3 linked regions of the Ovis aries genome follow. The protein of the gene in region 1 purifies or fractionates together with the protein of each later gene. This does not show direct contact. Links are inferred from orthologs where the notes say so. Each region holds a gene or a part of one and is shown on either strand. Other genes may lie near its edges.

The links. Proteins that work in one complex are often made in the same cells at the same time.
Region 2: the proteins of EP300 (region 1) and HDAC2 purify together in Homo sapiens (affinity purification with mass spectrometry; 4 studies listed by BioGRID, with this or other methods). This does not show direct contact. The link is inferred for Ovis aries from reciprocal best matches to the Homo sapiens genes EP300 and HDAC2.
Region 3: the proteins of EP300 (region 1) and MTA2 purify together in Homo sapiens (affinity purification with mass spectrometry, with the first as the bait; 3 studies listed by BioGRID). This does not show direct contact. The link is inferred for Ovis aries from reciprocal best matches to the Homo sapiens genes EP300 and MTA2.

Annotation. Positions count from the first base shown.
Region 1 is NC_056056.1:218,157,945-218,163,376, reverse strand, and holds part of EP300 (histone acetyltransferase p300), read right to left. Parts: intron 4,122-5,432; coding exon 4,065-4,121; intron 3,472-4,064; coding exon 3,394-3,471; intron 1,529-3,393; coding exon 1,461-1,528; intron 837-1,460; coding exon 686-836; intron 566-685; coding exon 419-565; intron 1-418. UniProt on the Homo sapiens protein: Functions as a histone acetyltransferase and regulates transcription via chromatin remodeling. Acetylates all four core histones in nucleosomes. Histone acetylation gives an epigenetic tag for transcriptional activation.
Region 2 is NC_056061.1:23,732,514-23,736,704, reverse strand, and holds the start of HDAC2 (histone deacetylase 2), read right to left. Parts: upstream 2,801-4,191; 5' UTR 2,567-2,800; coding exon 2,515-2,566; intron 1-2,514. UniProt on the Homo sapiens protein: Histone deacetylase that catalyzes the deacetylation of lysine residues on the N-terminal part of the core histones (H2A, H2B, H3 and H4).
Region 3 is NC_056074.1:37,480,782-37,484,849, reverse strand, and holds the start of MTA2 (metastasis-associated protein MTA2), read left to right. Parts: upstream 1-1,268; 5' UTR 1,269-1,649; coding exon 1,650-1,677; intron 1,678-1,781; exon of another isoform or gene 1,782-2,056; intron 2,057-2,409; coding exon 2,410-2,477; intron 2,478-2,853; coding exon 2,854-2,947; intron 2,948-4,068. Other genes in the region: EML3 (echinoderm microtubule-associated protein-like 3), read left to right, coding at 217-347, 430-633. UniProt on the Homo sapiens protein: May function as a transcriptional coregulator. Acts as a component of the histone deacetylase NuRD complex which participates in the remodeling of chromatin.

The sequences.
Region 1 (5,432 bases):
CTATCTCAGCACCTAGCAGGGCCTGAGACACAGCATAATTAGTCACTACTGAGCGATCCAAATACATTCTGACAGACTCTTATTCTGGCCTTTATACTACGTGGAAAATTCTACACCATACTCTACTTCATTTGTGTGACATTCTTTTACATCTCAAGAAGGTACTCAGCCTAGATTTAAGTACATTTTCTGAAAAGTCATATTTTAGGCTGCCATTCATATCTCTTTCCCTGTTATTATGAACATGAAAGAGCAGTATTTTCTTTTTTTTTTTTGGTTTCACTTCTATACTACACACTTGAGAACTTACATTTCCAAAAAAAGCACATCAAACATTTTCTTATCCATTACGCTTGTTCACCTGACTGTAATTTCAAACTTCCACACAAATTAGAAAGTAGCCACAGTAAAGTCCTACCTCTGGTTGGGTGGAGGGCAGTCAGAGCCATACTCCTGAACGTGCATACCAAAGAAGCACAAGTCAACACCATCGATTTCTTCGAAGGCAAAGAGGGCTTTGGTTCGATATGGAAAGGATTCTGCCATCTCTCCACTATCTACAAATCTATACAATTCATAGTGGAGGGAAGAAGTACAACATTTCATTCAGATTAGAATCATCAACAGTAACTATGTGTGAGCAACTGTGGATCCACAGATAAGAAAGGGGGAAATTACTACATACCTTGCTTTCATGCCTGGTTTGACTTCCACAGTTTTGTCAGAAGCATGAACTACTCGAACAGTGACCTCTCCTGACTCAGGGTGATTCTGTCGCCTCAGAAACTCATTCACACGATTCTCCAGAAATGTCCCAAGCCTGGTAGATGGCAGTCCTAGGATTTACAAGTGACAAGTTCAGGAGTAGCCAAGGTGCACATTTATTACTACCAGTCAAATTTCAATACCGTATCTCACTTCTGCTTTTTCAACACTAGCAAGATTATCACTGACTCAATGGCCATCAATGTGAGCAGACTCTGGAGATAGTGGAGTACAGGGGAGCCTGGCATGCTGCAGCCCAAGGGGTCGCAAAGAGATGGACTCAACTTAGCGACTAAACAACAACACAGAACAGCAAAAAACTGCACAGGCATCTATCTCCAGAACTAAAACTACTGCCACCCACCAAGTGAAAAGATCACATAGGGCTAAATGCAGCCCCTCCACAAAACTGAGGGAATCACTCACGGGATGGCAATGCTGGCCTCTGTCAGGAAATGTGTTGGAATAAGAAAAATACATCTGCGCTTTTTTACACATTATTAGGTATAAGTAACTTCACACCAAAAAGGATACTACAGTAGAACTTCAAGTACATCATGGAAAAATTATTTGTTGTTTAGTTTGGTTAAATATTTTAAATAATGTTGAAACAAAATAATTCTTTCTGGATGTTAATTTTTAATGATGTTTCAAGCAAAGTTTTCCCATAATTTACCTGTAAGAAAGGAACTTACTTTTAGCAGAAAATTTATTTTCTTTTCTAGTTCGTGCAGTCTTCTTTAAACAACCATCACAGACAAATCTAAAATGTAAACCGAGACTTTGTTTAACAACTTAAAGGAGCATTTCAAATAACGCACTCTACAGAATCTATCTTATGTATGCGTAAGGTTGAAAATAAACAAAAAAACAACCTGGGAGAAATACAACCAATATACAAAGAGCTTTCAGAAAACATTAAGAGAAAAAAGATAAATAGGTAAAAGATACAAAGAGAATATAAACTAGTTTACATGTGCAAAGATGAAGAATCACAGATTAAAGCAGAGATTTTATTTTTTAGTCAATCACATTAGCAGAAGTGTATATGTTACCAGTGGGACTATAAAAAGGGACATTTTGAAAGCAGCATGAATAGATTTTATATGTACATTCTCTTTGTTCCTGAAATTACATAAGGATGTGTGCATAAGTAGAATTTTGAGAAAAACTGGACAACACATAAGTACTCATCAACCAGCTGGCTGACCTTCAGTTGCAAGGATCACTGCAAGTCTCATGATCCTTGCCTACTCTGTAATTAAGAAGAGAAACCTATGCTTGGGGCTGGTGCATGGGGATGACCCACAGAGATGTTATGGGAGGGAGGTGGGAGGGGGGGTTCATGTTTGGGAACACATGTAAGAATTAAAGGTTTGAAAATTAAAAAAATAAAAAAGCAAAAAAAAAAAAAAAAAGAGAGAGAGAAACCTATCAAAAGACAAGCTTACCTACTACAATTTTCCTTAGTGTTTTTTTTTTTCTGGAAATTTTGTTATTTAGCCTCCTTTTCCCCCACGAACTCTAAACTAGCATCAAGTTAGTCCAGGAAAAAAGCAGAGGAGAGAGTAGAGCTCCCATCTTGATGAGAGTCACTTAATGCACAGACATCCCCTCCCCAACCTTTCCCTTGAACAGAGCTGGGAGCAGCCTCATTCCTGGAGAGAGGTAGCCATGGCAGTAAACACTTGGCAGTGTCACAATGGACAAAAATCCACTTATTTCCGTGAAAGGCACTGATGATATGCAGCCTGGGTAGATATGTGGAGAATACTCAAGAAACAAAACATGAGGCCCAAGCGTATCTAGTTCACTGAAGTCTGTATCTCATCATTTTCACGTATCTCTGCCTTTCAGTGGGGAACACCCATGTTACCTGTTATCCAACTGCCCAAAAGACTTTAAATAATTCAAGTCTAACCAGGGCCACTATTCAGTATACAATCTCACTGTAATGTTCTCTCAGAGGCAGAAACAAAGTCGTCGTTTTGGTGCTCTCCATTACTGGTATCATCTAGTCTGTCCTCTGGGATATTAGCAACACTCAACATCTGTCAAGTTTAGTTGACACAACTAACACTTTCAGGGCTTTCCTGTGGCTCGGTCAGTAGAGTCTGCCTGCAATGTGGGAGAGCCGTGTGCTATCCCTGGGTTGGGAAGATATTCTGGAGAAGGAAATGGCAACCCACTCCAGTATCCTTGCCTGGAAAACCCCATGGACACGGGAGCCTAGTGGGCTACAGTCCGTGGGGTCACAGAGAGTTGGACATGACCGAGTGATTAACACTTAGTTGTGTCTAACATTTCCTTTCTAGTTTCTAGGTGCTACAGATTTCCTGTTACCTCTATTGATAAATCCTCTATATTTACTTTTGATGCACAATAACCACCAAAGAATTTAGAAATAGTGAACCAGCAGAGAGAAGTGTCTCTACATGGACTAACACATTGTAGTAAGAGAAGGCCTGTTCTGGATTCCAGGTTGATTACTGTTCCAAAACTGAATTTTAATGACCTTTTCCCAATCCAGAGAATAATTCTAAGAGGCAGTAATTTTGACAATAAAATACAGTCATTGCAAAGATGACAAAAACTTGCTAAAGTCTGGGGAAAATACTGATGCCTCACCCCGATGGCCAGATGATCTCATGATGAAGGACACAGATCTGATGCATCTTTCTCCCACACTCTGTACACTCAACAAACCTGCAAAGGCAAAACGTCGAGTTAAATCCAAAACTTGAACCAAATCAAAAGTGCCGGTATTTCTCGTTTTCTGACAATTCAAAAGATGGCCAAGATCATGTCCAAAGAACTGAAGTAACAGTGTTTAAAAGCTCTTTAGTGTAACAGGTAGAGTGAATCTCAAACGCAGTTAAATTCAGTCATTTTATGGAGTAAAAAGTGATAGAAAAGACGACTGCTGTTTAAACCTCCAAGTCTGACACGATCCTGTCCATTCCAGGAATGTCTAGTACCAGTACACTTCTGTACCTCTGAAAGGTGTCACAATAAAGGAGGCGATTATTAAACGGTTGGAAAACACACAGGACAAGGCTGGAATAACGGCACTGAGCAGAGGCAGCCTGGCACCTCACAAGAGCACCAAAACACTAGGGAGGGTTAGTGAAATGCAAATGTAAACCATAGCCTCGATTTTTAACATTTCTACCTTGTCTCCTAGATGTAGGCTACAGACTTAGCCCAAGAATAATAGCATCACCACACTGGCTGCACAAACCAAAAGAATGAAAGCAAGACGGAAAATGAAAGTGTACTACTCAAGGGGAACTACTTACAGTTCAGGATCCAGAGTATCATTTTTTCTCTTTGAAAATTGTTCTTTATTTATTGTACTAAGGAAAGAAGAGGATACAATAAGAAAAAGCAACACAGGAAGATTAGCAAGTTGACTATTGTTCTAATAACCAAATGATAAAAACCCCCACCCTGTTAAGATTATTTAAATCTAAGACTCTATCAAGGATACAGCTGGTACATTCTTAGCTCCCGCAAAACGCACGTTTACATGCCTATGTTTTGGGAAATGACTTTATAGTACCTCTGTTCCCACTGACAGGAGAACCCAGTAAGATCTAAAAGCATGAATTTGTACTTTTTTCTTTTCCTTTTAAAATCTTGCCTACTACTCTTAGTGTTAGGTATTTAAGCCTTTGACTAGTTTACTGTTTCTAGACAGCTCAGTCTAGCAGTATGAAAGACAGTGTGTACAGAGGGAGCTAAACCACTATTTAAAAAAAAAAAAAGGCATTTTTTAGGACAGTCCAGTCAAGCAACTTTTTATATTAATAAAAAATTTTAGCATTAAGAATACATAGTTCAGGTTACTGACAGGATTAGTAAAAAAAAAAAAAGGGGGGGGGTTTCATTAAAAAATTTTCACATGGCCTCCTATCCTGAAATCTAGCCTCCTACTCTGTTCATAGTCTCACAAACACAGGAGGCCACCTACAACAAACTTTTGACTACTGTGATTCTTCCTCATAAAAATGAAGCGATTTCCCCATTGAAACTGTTTTCTCCTAGTTACAGGCTCCAGATTCATTGCTACGTGCCCTAAGGTATTGCTATCCGAAAGTGTGTTTGGAAGACTATCAGCCTGGATGGACCTGGGAACTTGTCAGTAACGCACTCTCTCAGGCTCACTGCCAACTGCAGAACTGCAAGAGGGGTTCCTACACACTTCAAAGTCAGAGACCTGCTGTCCTATGGCACAGAACTTGTGGTAAGGGTGCCTCCCTTTTTTGCATCAGGGAAACCGACCTAGACCTGACTTCCCTGGTTAGCCAAGGGTTAGAAAATCTCAAGGCTCAAGGGGACCCGAACCAGTACCAGAGCCCACCATTTTATATGTCAGTGGTGACTGAAGGAAAAGGACAACTTCAGAATCCAATTTGAAGACACCAAGTTTTTCTCAGAAGCCCTGTTTTTACTAGTAACATAACAATTCTGAATTGCTATGGGAAATGTTCTGAACTGTTTGTTTATTGTAGGTTAAATCGGAAGAGAAGCTGAAGAATATTTAAAGGATACCAAATAGTTCTTTCTTCCTAAAAGCATGAAAAATTGACAGCTTGAATCTTATAGAGATTAGAGGCAGTCTAGGCAATGTTTAAAAAATTTTCTTGGCATTTACCGAACCATAA
Region 2 (4,191 bases), on another chromosome or scaffold:
AGAGTCAGTTCTCTGATGCACAAGCTCTTTCCTCACAATTGAAAAAAAAAAAACTACTATCACTATCCTTATAAGCTGACAAAATAGGGTTTTCCTGGTGATGAAAATCTAAGCTTTTGGAATTAACTATCCACAGCTTAACATACTATCACCTACAAAGAATTAGCATAATGATACCTATTCATTTTAATAACCTGTGCAAAATATTTTATTAGCCCACCCCCACAAAAAGAACCCAGAGCATATTCCCAATGTAAGCAATTACATATTCCATTCTAAAAATTAGTCAAGGAAGAGCCATAGACAAAAGACAGATAACCTAACCAGAGACATCTAAACATTCAATTATACACCTGCTGTTGGCCATCAGATGAAGCAGCTGAATGGTCCACTATAAACTATTGACTAAATCACAAAGATTACTCTTCCTATCAAGTCTGCATCCTGCTCTTGGGATCAATACTTGCTCCCATCCCCTCAATGAAGGCTCATTGTAAATGGGCCCAGGAAAAGAATAGCTGTTGATAAAACTGCTACTTAAGTGTACCTTCTGGTTCTGCAGTTCAAGCCTGGTGACAAGAAGTTTCAAGCAGCTCATTTCATCAGAGTCTATCACTGTCAACAGCAACTAACAGCTGCAGGCAGAGCCTTAGTACCAGTTACCCTAACCTTTTAAAACCCTTCTTCTCTACCCCAAGCCCTGCTAACACATCTCTAAACCTTAGAAACAATATAATTTTAAAAATTAAGTTACACACATGGTTATTTACTTTTCAATTTGGTCATGGAACCCAAGTCAAGGCCAGTGACCCAAAATATGCATGAACTCTTAAAAAATTAACTCGAAGGAACTTCAGCAATTTACATTAAAATTAAAATCTCCTCCCATCTCCACCCCTTCATGATGGCATAATTTCAAATCAATTTGTATCACATATACATGCAGTCTTCTCAAAAAATATTTTAAAAACATGGCTGTTAATATTTAACACTTAGATTTCTTCTGTAAGATTTTAGATTGTTCCACAAATTACACAGGTGGTTATTTTATATAAACAGGCATGAAAATGATTCATGCTTGCTAACTGAAGAGATATGATATGGCCATTTTAAAATTAAAGTCTAGATTTATTCTGACCTAGTCCTCTAAGATCTTTCCATCAGTCTATGATTTTACGATTTATGATACATTGAATGTAGGAAACAGCTTCCAAAATTTTTATTGCTTCACACAAATCAGATGGACTTTCAGGTCCCTGAACCTAGCTTCTTTGTTAAATTTTAGAATTTCTTCTCTGGAGAGTAACCTAACTAGGAACCATTTACCAAGTTAATATCTTCGTGCAAACTATAAAAAAGGTAACAACTTCTTTTAGTTTAATTTAGACTAGCACAGGAAACGGGATTCAAAAAGACTTACTGCTCAAATTGCAAATGAAGTCAGGACCTCTAAAACGAAATAATTAGATTTTTATAATTTACTGTTCCATGAGCTCAAGCTTATCTGATTATTTAGTACTTTCTGCCGTACTCCTCAAAGTTTTCCAACACCAGGACTCCCACCACCTAGAAACAGCTTTCGCAAGCCAGATGCCAAACCTATCGGTCCTACACCTCCAAAGCAGGGTGTATTTCCTGATCGAACAAAGAGCAACAAAGAAGTGGGTGGTAACCGCCTCTCAGAGAGGCAAGCCAGGACCCATTGAGGCTGATCTACAACACGAGCGACAACACGCTGCCCCACCACCGTCGCATTTCCCGTGAAGACTGACTACCTCAAACTCGAAAACCCTCATTATTTATTGAGGAAGTGAAGCCCTTTCATTTAAGTGCTGAGAAAGTGGCGCTCAGAGAACCCGGCAAACAAAGGAAAGGGATGGAGCCCACGCAAAACAAGGGTGCGAACGAGCCTCCAGGTGGACGTGGGCCCCCACCCTCAGGGGCTACTCTCCAGCACCCAACCCGGTCGAGGGGTCCAGGGTGAGGCCGGCGGCAGAGAAAAGGAGGAGACGCTCGAGCCAGCCGGGGACACAGAGGAGGGAAGAGGCGGGGAGGGGAGGGTTGGGGGCTGGAGGGGCGGAGCTCTCGGGGCCGTGGGGCTTTGTGTGCAGTCTGGGCCGGGGTAGCTGTTTCGGCCCGCGAGAAGAAATAGGGTGCAGGCGGCCGGAGCAGGGGACCCCCAAAACCTCCCTCCCACGAGCGGCGGGCGGGACAGGCGCGAGGAAGGGCCGTCCCCTTCGCACCAGCACCAAGCCAAGGCAGGCCGGCGGCGGACCGCACTGCCGGAGCGAGAGGGGCCGGAGGGAAAGTGGGGCGTCCGTTTAGCCCCCCGAGGAGGCTGCCGGACGGCGTCGGGTCGGGAATGGGTTAAGATGCTGCCAAAAGTCGGTCCCTCCTCCTGACCCCTCAGCACCCGGCGCGACAACTCGCGACGGCGGCCGCAGAGCCGATGCGGCTCCGGGCCCGGCGCCACAGCCCTGGGCCGCCCACCCTCCCGCCTGCCCGGCGTCTCACCATCATAGTAGTAGCAGACTTTCTTCTTGCCGCCTCCTTGACTGTACGCCATGGGCTCCCCGGCCACCGCCGCCTCCGGCTCCTCCTCTTGCTGCTGCTGCTACTGCTGCCTCCGCGGCTCCGGCGGGGAGAGAAGGCTGGGGCGAAGGTGGAGGGTGGCAGTCCCGCGGGGAAGGGCAGGCCGGAGGGAGGAGAGGAGGGGGGGAGCCGGGAGGGCTGGGTACCGCCCGGCCGAAGGGCCGAGAGCGCGGACCAGGGGGTGGCAGCGGCGCCAACTCGCGACACTGGGGAGGGGGAGGGGGGCGCCAAACTACCTCCGGAGGCCGAGGGGAGGTGGGGCGGGTCCACTGCGACTCCACGGGGGAGGAGGGGGCAAGAGGCTTCTTCAATTTGGGAAAAGAGGCTTTCTTATGATGAGCGACTTGCACAGGACGGCTACCCTATACAGTCGTAAAAGGATTTCTTTTTTAAAGAGCAGGCTTTCGCTTTTAGATTAGGTAGGTAAAGGGAGCATGGAGCCGGGTGCAAGCTTCCCCCCTTCGGATCTTTGCGCAGTGGTTGTGCCTATCCTGAGCCTGCGCAGTCGGCGCCTCCCCAACCGTAGCCCGGGCCGCCTGGACCCCCTCCGCGAAGTCCCACGCTGCTCCCCTCCCCCTCTGTCGCGAAGCTCCCGCCGGGGCGGACCACGTGCTCTGAGCCGGGCGCAGAGAGACCACTATCCCACCGCTTCGACCTTCTTGAACCCGCCGAGCTGCAACCCACGCCCCCTGTACTGGGTCGTCGTGCATTTCATTTATTTTTTTCATTTTCTACTGATAATCGCTGAGAGGAGGTTTTGACCTCGGAAGAGGTCCCCCCTATTAAGGGGACCTATTGCAGACATTAAAGAGCAGAGAGTACTGCCTGACTTTAAATAGGCAGTTATGGCATGCATGTATGTGTTAGGGTTCTAAGTAATTTATTATGTATTTCATTTATATGTGTTAACTCGATTGAGACTCCCAACAACTGGGAGTAAGCTGGGACGTTAAGTATTGTTTCTAGTTCTTCTTTATAAATGGACTTTATAACGCACTTGGTCCTCTCCAAGGTTGATGGTCTGGGGTTTGATTTCAGCCTTTCTCTAAAGTCCACACATCCTAGCTACTCCATTATGACTGCTTCTGCTGGCTGGGCACTGGAAGATGGCAGCATAAAGTTCAGAGAAAGGACTTTCAGAACTTTTGGACGTTATAAATACCTTTGCCCCTGTGTTCAATAAGTCATCAAACATGGAGCCTTTTCAGCCACCCACCTTGTAGGTGATTGGGGTGGGGGTGGGGGATGCTCTTATTCCCATATACCATTTATTGTTTATAAGTGCAGACTCAGTCACTCAGCCCTGTCTGACTCTGCGATCCCGTGGACTGTGCCCCCCTCCGAGAGGAGCAGGTTGCCATTTCCTCTTCAAGGGGAATCTTCCTGATCCGGGGTTGGAACTCCGGTCTCCTACATTGGCAGGTGAATTCTTTACCATTGAGCCCTCTGGGAAGCCCATTTACCATTTATACATTTCCCCAGATACACATTCTCTCCCATCCCTATCAAAAAAACAAACAAAAAGTCCTTATTGAAGCAGGAATCTTTGGGAGCCAGTAACAAAATTATCCTTTTTATTTTGCTAGTAAATATTTGACT
Region 3 (4,068 bases), on another chromosome or scaffold:
CTGGACATGTGTAGGGGGTGGACGTCAAGAAACTGGCAGATCCAGCCCAAGAGCCGCCCCCCTCCCCCACCTCCGCCACTGGCCCTCGGGACTGGGAAGGATTGCCAGGAACGTGGTGGGTGGGTGGCCGGGCTGCCTGAGCTAGGGGGGAAATGGTGCAGCTCTGGACCGCGGGTGGGGGCGGGGAGGTCGGGCTGAGGCCGGCTGCTGTGACAGGCGTGTGGCCAGATGGCTCGGATGGAACTGACATCAACTCCCTGTGCCGCTCCCACAACGAGCGCGTCGTGGCCGTTGCCGACGACTTCTGCAAAGTGCACCTCTTCCAGTACCCGTGCGCGCACGCCAAGGTGAGGCCTCCCGGGGCCTCCGGGGTGGGGCGGGCGGCCGGAGCTCCTCGGCCGCTGCAGCTCCATCTTCTCTCCTGCCCAGGCGCCGAGCCTCGTGTACGGTGGTCACGGCAGCCACGTGACCAGCGTCCGGTTCACGCACGACGACTCGCACCTCATCTCGCTGGGCGGCAAGGACGCCAGCATCTTCCAGTGGCGAGTGTTGGGCGCTGGGGGCACGGGGCCGGTGCCCACCACGCCCTCTCGAACCCCCTCCCTGTCCCCTGCCTCCTCTCTTGACGTCTGACCCCTGCCGGACTGGACCCACCGGCCCTGCAGTGTGGCCCTGCCCCCACCCACCCAAATTCCCCAGGACCGAGGTGACCCTGTCCTCGACTTCGAGACATTCCCAAAAGTGCATTTCCTTGGAGGGGGCGAACGGCACCCCTGCACACACTGTATAGACCCGCTGGCTGAGCCGGGCAGCCCCAGCCTGGGCCCTGACTCCCGCTGCCTGCTGAGGGGCAATAAACCAAAAGCAAAGTCGCCTCCCGGTCCTTTTGTGGGGCGCGGCTGGGCGCCTCGGGGCTTTATGGGGGCGGGGAGGAAGGCAAAGGGGAATGCGGAAAAGGTGAGGGAGGGTGGACTTTTTATGCAAATAACAGGCGAAGCCTCTTGCAAATAACTGCGAGGCTCAAAGGCCCTTCGAGTTTTTCGCGGCCGCTGGTGGAGCTGCAAGACTCCGGCTAGCAGAGAGTTAAGCCCAACTCCTCTCCCCGCCCTCGGAGGCGGGGCCGAGCCGCAACGGAAATAGCCGAGTGCCGGGCCGCGGTTGGCCGGAGGGAGCCGAACTTCTTCCGGAAGTAGCCGAGCTTTGCGGGCTTGCTCTCCGACCGGAGCCGAGTGCTGGGCCTTGTTCTCCGGATCCGCCGAAGGTGTTCCGGAAGGAGGCGAACCCCGAGGCGGGCCGGCAAGTCTTCGCGGCGGCCCTCAGAGTCCAACGTCTGGTGGGACTCGGCGAGGGCGGAGGTAGTTGCAGCCTGCCTCCGGTCCGGCGGGATCCGAGCTCGTTCCGGAAGAAGCCGAGCGGACCGGCGCCGGTCTCGGCGTCCCGGGCGTGAGGCTATAGAGGCGGCGGCGACAGCGCGGGCCGGGATGAGCCGCGACGGCTGAGGCTGCGGAGGCGCCGGCTGCGCGGGCCCGACTGAGACTTCTGCGAAGCGCCGGCCCCGCGCTCAGGGCTTCGCTTCGAGTCCTGCCCTCGGGAGCCTTCCGGACCCCTTTGTGCGGCCGGAGGCGGCGGCGGCGGCGGCGGGAACGGCCATGGCGGCCAACATGTACCGAGTGGGGGGTGAGTACCGGGTGTTAGGGGCTTCGGGACTCGGGGCGGGAGAGGCTCGGCTCCCAGCGGCGCGGGGACCCGCGTCTGGGGCGGCGTGGTCCAGAGCGCGGACCGGAACCGGAACCGGGAGCATGGGGAGCGAGGGCGCGGGGATCGCGACGCGCCCGGGCTCCGAGACTCCCGGGGAGGCTGCGGGCGGCCCGACGGCACTCTCAGGGCAGCGTCTGGGCCGCCGGGGTCGTGGAGTGGGCTTGCGAAAGTGGTTCCAAAGGGGCTGACAGGGCAGGCAGGGGGCGCGAAGGGCCGGCGCAACTGCTTGGCCACCAACGGGGGAGCGGCCGGGAGGTTTCCTTTTCCCAGGCGTTATTGTGCGCCTCGGTTCACAAAGGTGGGGGCCCTGTACAGGGATGAGCAATTGCTCTCCTGAACGAGACCGGGATGCAACTCCATCGCTGAGTTGTGGGGACTGCTGAGCAGGGGAACCCCCTGCTTCTCTTGTCTCCTCCTTAAGGCTCACTTTTGAGCGGAGGATCTGATTTAATAACTGGGTGATTAGGGGGTGGAACGTCCGTCCATTATTTTCTGCTAGTCTGTACACTTCCACATTTCTGCGTCCTCTCTACCTAGACCCTTATCTCCTTTTGGTCTACTCAGGCCTCCTTTCGCTCCTCCCACTCTGGTGCTGGACTCTCCCATCTACTCCTCTGATCTTCCCGGTTCTTCCCCCACCCCCTCCTACAGATTACGTCTATTTTGAGAACTCCTCCAGCAATCCTTACCTGGTTAGAAGGATTGAAGAGCTCAACAAGGTGAGTAGAGCAGAGGCCCGCCACTCCCCCCCTACCCAGCAACCTCCGTCTTCTTTTTTCAGAGATCTGTAACTTCAGGTGAATGAGAGACAAGCGATAACAGAAACCCTGTCCTAAGTACCCATGCATATTCATTCATTCATTTCTTCCACGCTTTCAGGAAAGGCTATTAAGAGTTTAGTGGGAACTTTACTGTTCTGTTTTTTGGGGGGCTGAGGAAAGGGATTTGGAAGTCTGTCCTTAAATGTGAATCTCTTGATTCATAATTTGAGTTTTTCTTACATCCTTTAGAAACTTGTTCACTGATGTTAGTCTCTTCTTTATGCATTTCCACTTTCAAATGATTAGTTTTCACCACCGTTTTTTCTCTCCTTAGACTGCAAATGGAAACGTGGAGGCAAAGGTTGTGTGCCTTTTCCGGCGAAGGGACATTTCGAGTAGCCTCAACAGCCTGGCTGATAGTAATGCCAGTGAGTGTCTTTGTCCCCACCCCCGGTTTCCCTGTCTCCCCCTGCCCATGATCTGAAGCCTGGGCATGTCCCTGCAGGTGTTCTCTTGTAGCATGCCCAAGGCAGGGGTGTGAGTTTGGGGGTGGGAAGTGCCTGGTCTGCAGAGGGAGGCCTGTTTTTACATGTTGGGTTAGAAGCAAGGTGGAGAGGCCATGATAAGGAAAGCCAGAATTTGGCTTGTGTGTGAGTGTGTATTTTTGAATCTGCCTTTGTGAATGGTGTATGTTAAAGAGATGATAGTATGTAAATCGGGGATGAGGAAGCACTTTAGAGAAGCAGATCTCTAGGGGGACAGTTTCGGTTGTGTTGGGATGATAGGTGGTGACTGCGAAGGTCAGGTGAAGAGAAGAGACTGGACTGAGAAGCCTGCATAATAGGAAGGCAGGTTTTTGGTGTGATCATGAGGTGGTAAGACTACACTGATGGGAGAAAATAGGAAGCCAGGAACATTTTCTTGCGCTTTTTCTCTATTCTCACATAGCCTAGGACTCACCTAGCCCTGGACTCCATTTTACATCTTTCCCTTTTCTTTTCAGCCTATCCTGCTTCTCTTGATGCTTTCATCTTTTTAGATACACAGCTTTCTGTTTTCTTATAGTTTCTTTTTCCTTTCCTGCTTTGGCTTTCTTTCCCCTTTCTCTTGTTCTTCCTTTCTAAATTATTTTCCTTATTTTGGGCTTCTTTGAGCATTGGGCGTGAAGGGGTTAAGGAGGACCTGGGCCGACCAAGTTCTCTGGCTCTCTGGGGTTTCCAACCCTGTCTGGCAGGGGCTGACCTTGGTCTTGTCCAATCGGAAAGGCTGTGGGGGGTGTGGTCCCCCTTGCCTTAGCACAGGGTTTCCGGAGCACACAGGCAAGGGGTGGAGCCTACTGCACACCCCTGCCCCCCCCTTCTCCTTGAGGTTGGGAACAATGCACCAATGAGCCTGGGCCTGTGGCTCTTCTGCCCCCTCCCTGTTTGGTTGGCACCCAACCAAGTTAACCCTTTCCACTAAGGTTTCAGGGCAAGTTGCAGCTCCTTGGGGAATAAGGTGTTGGCACTGGCTTGAGAGGTACTGTCCTTGAGAGCCCCCAAAACAAACT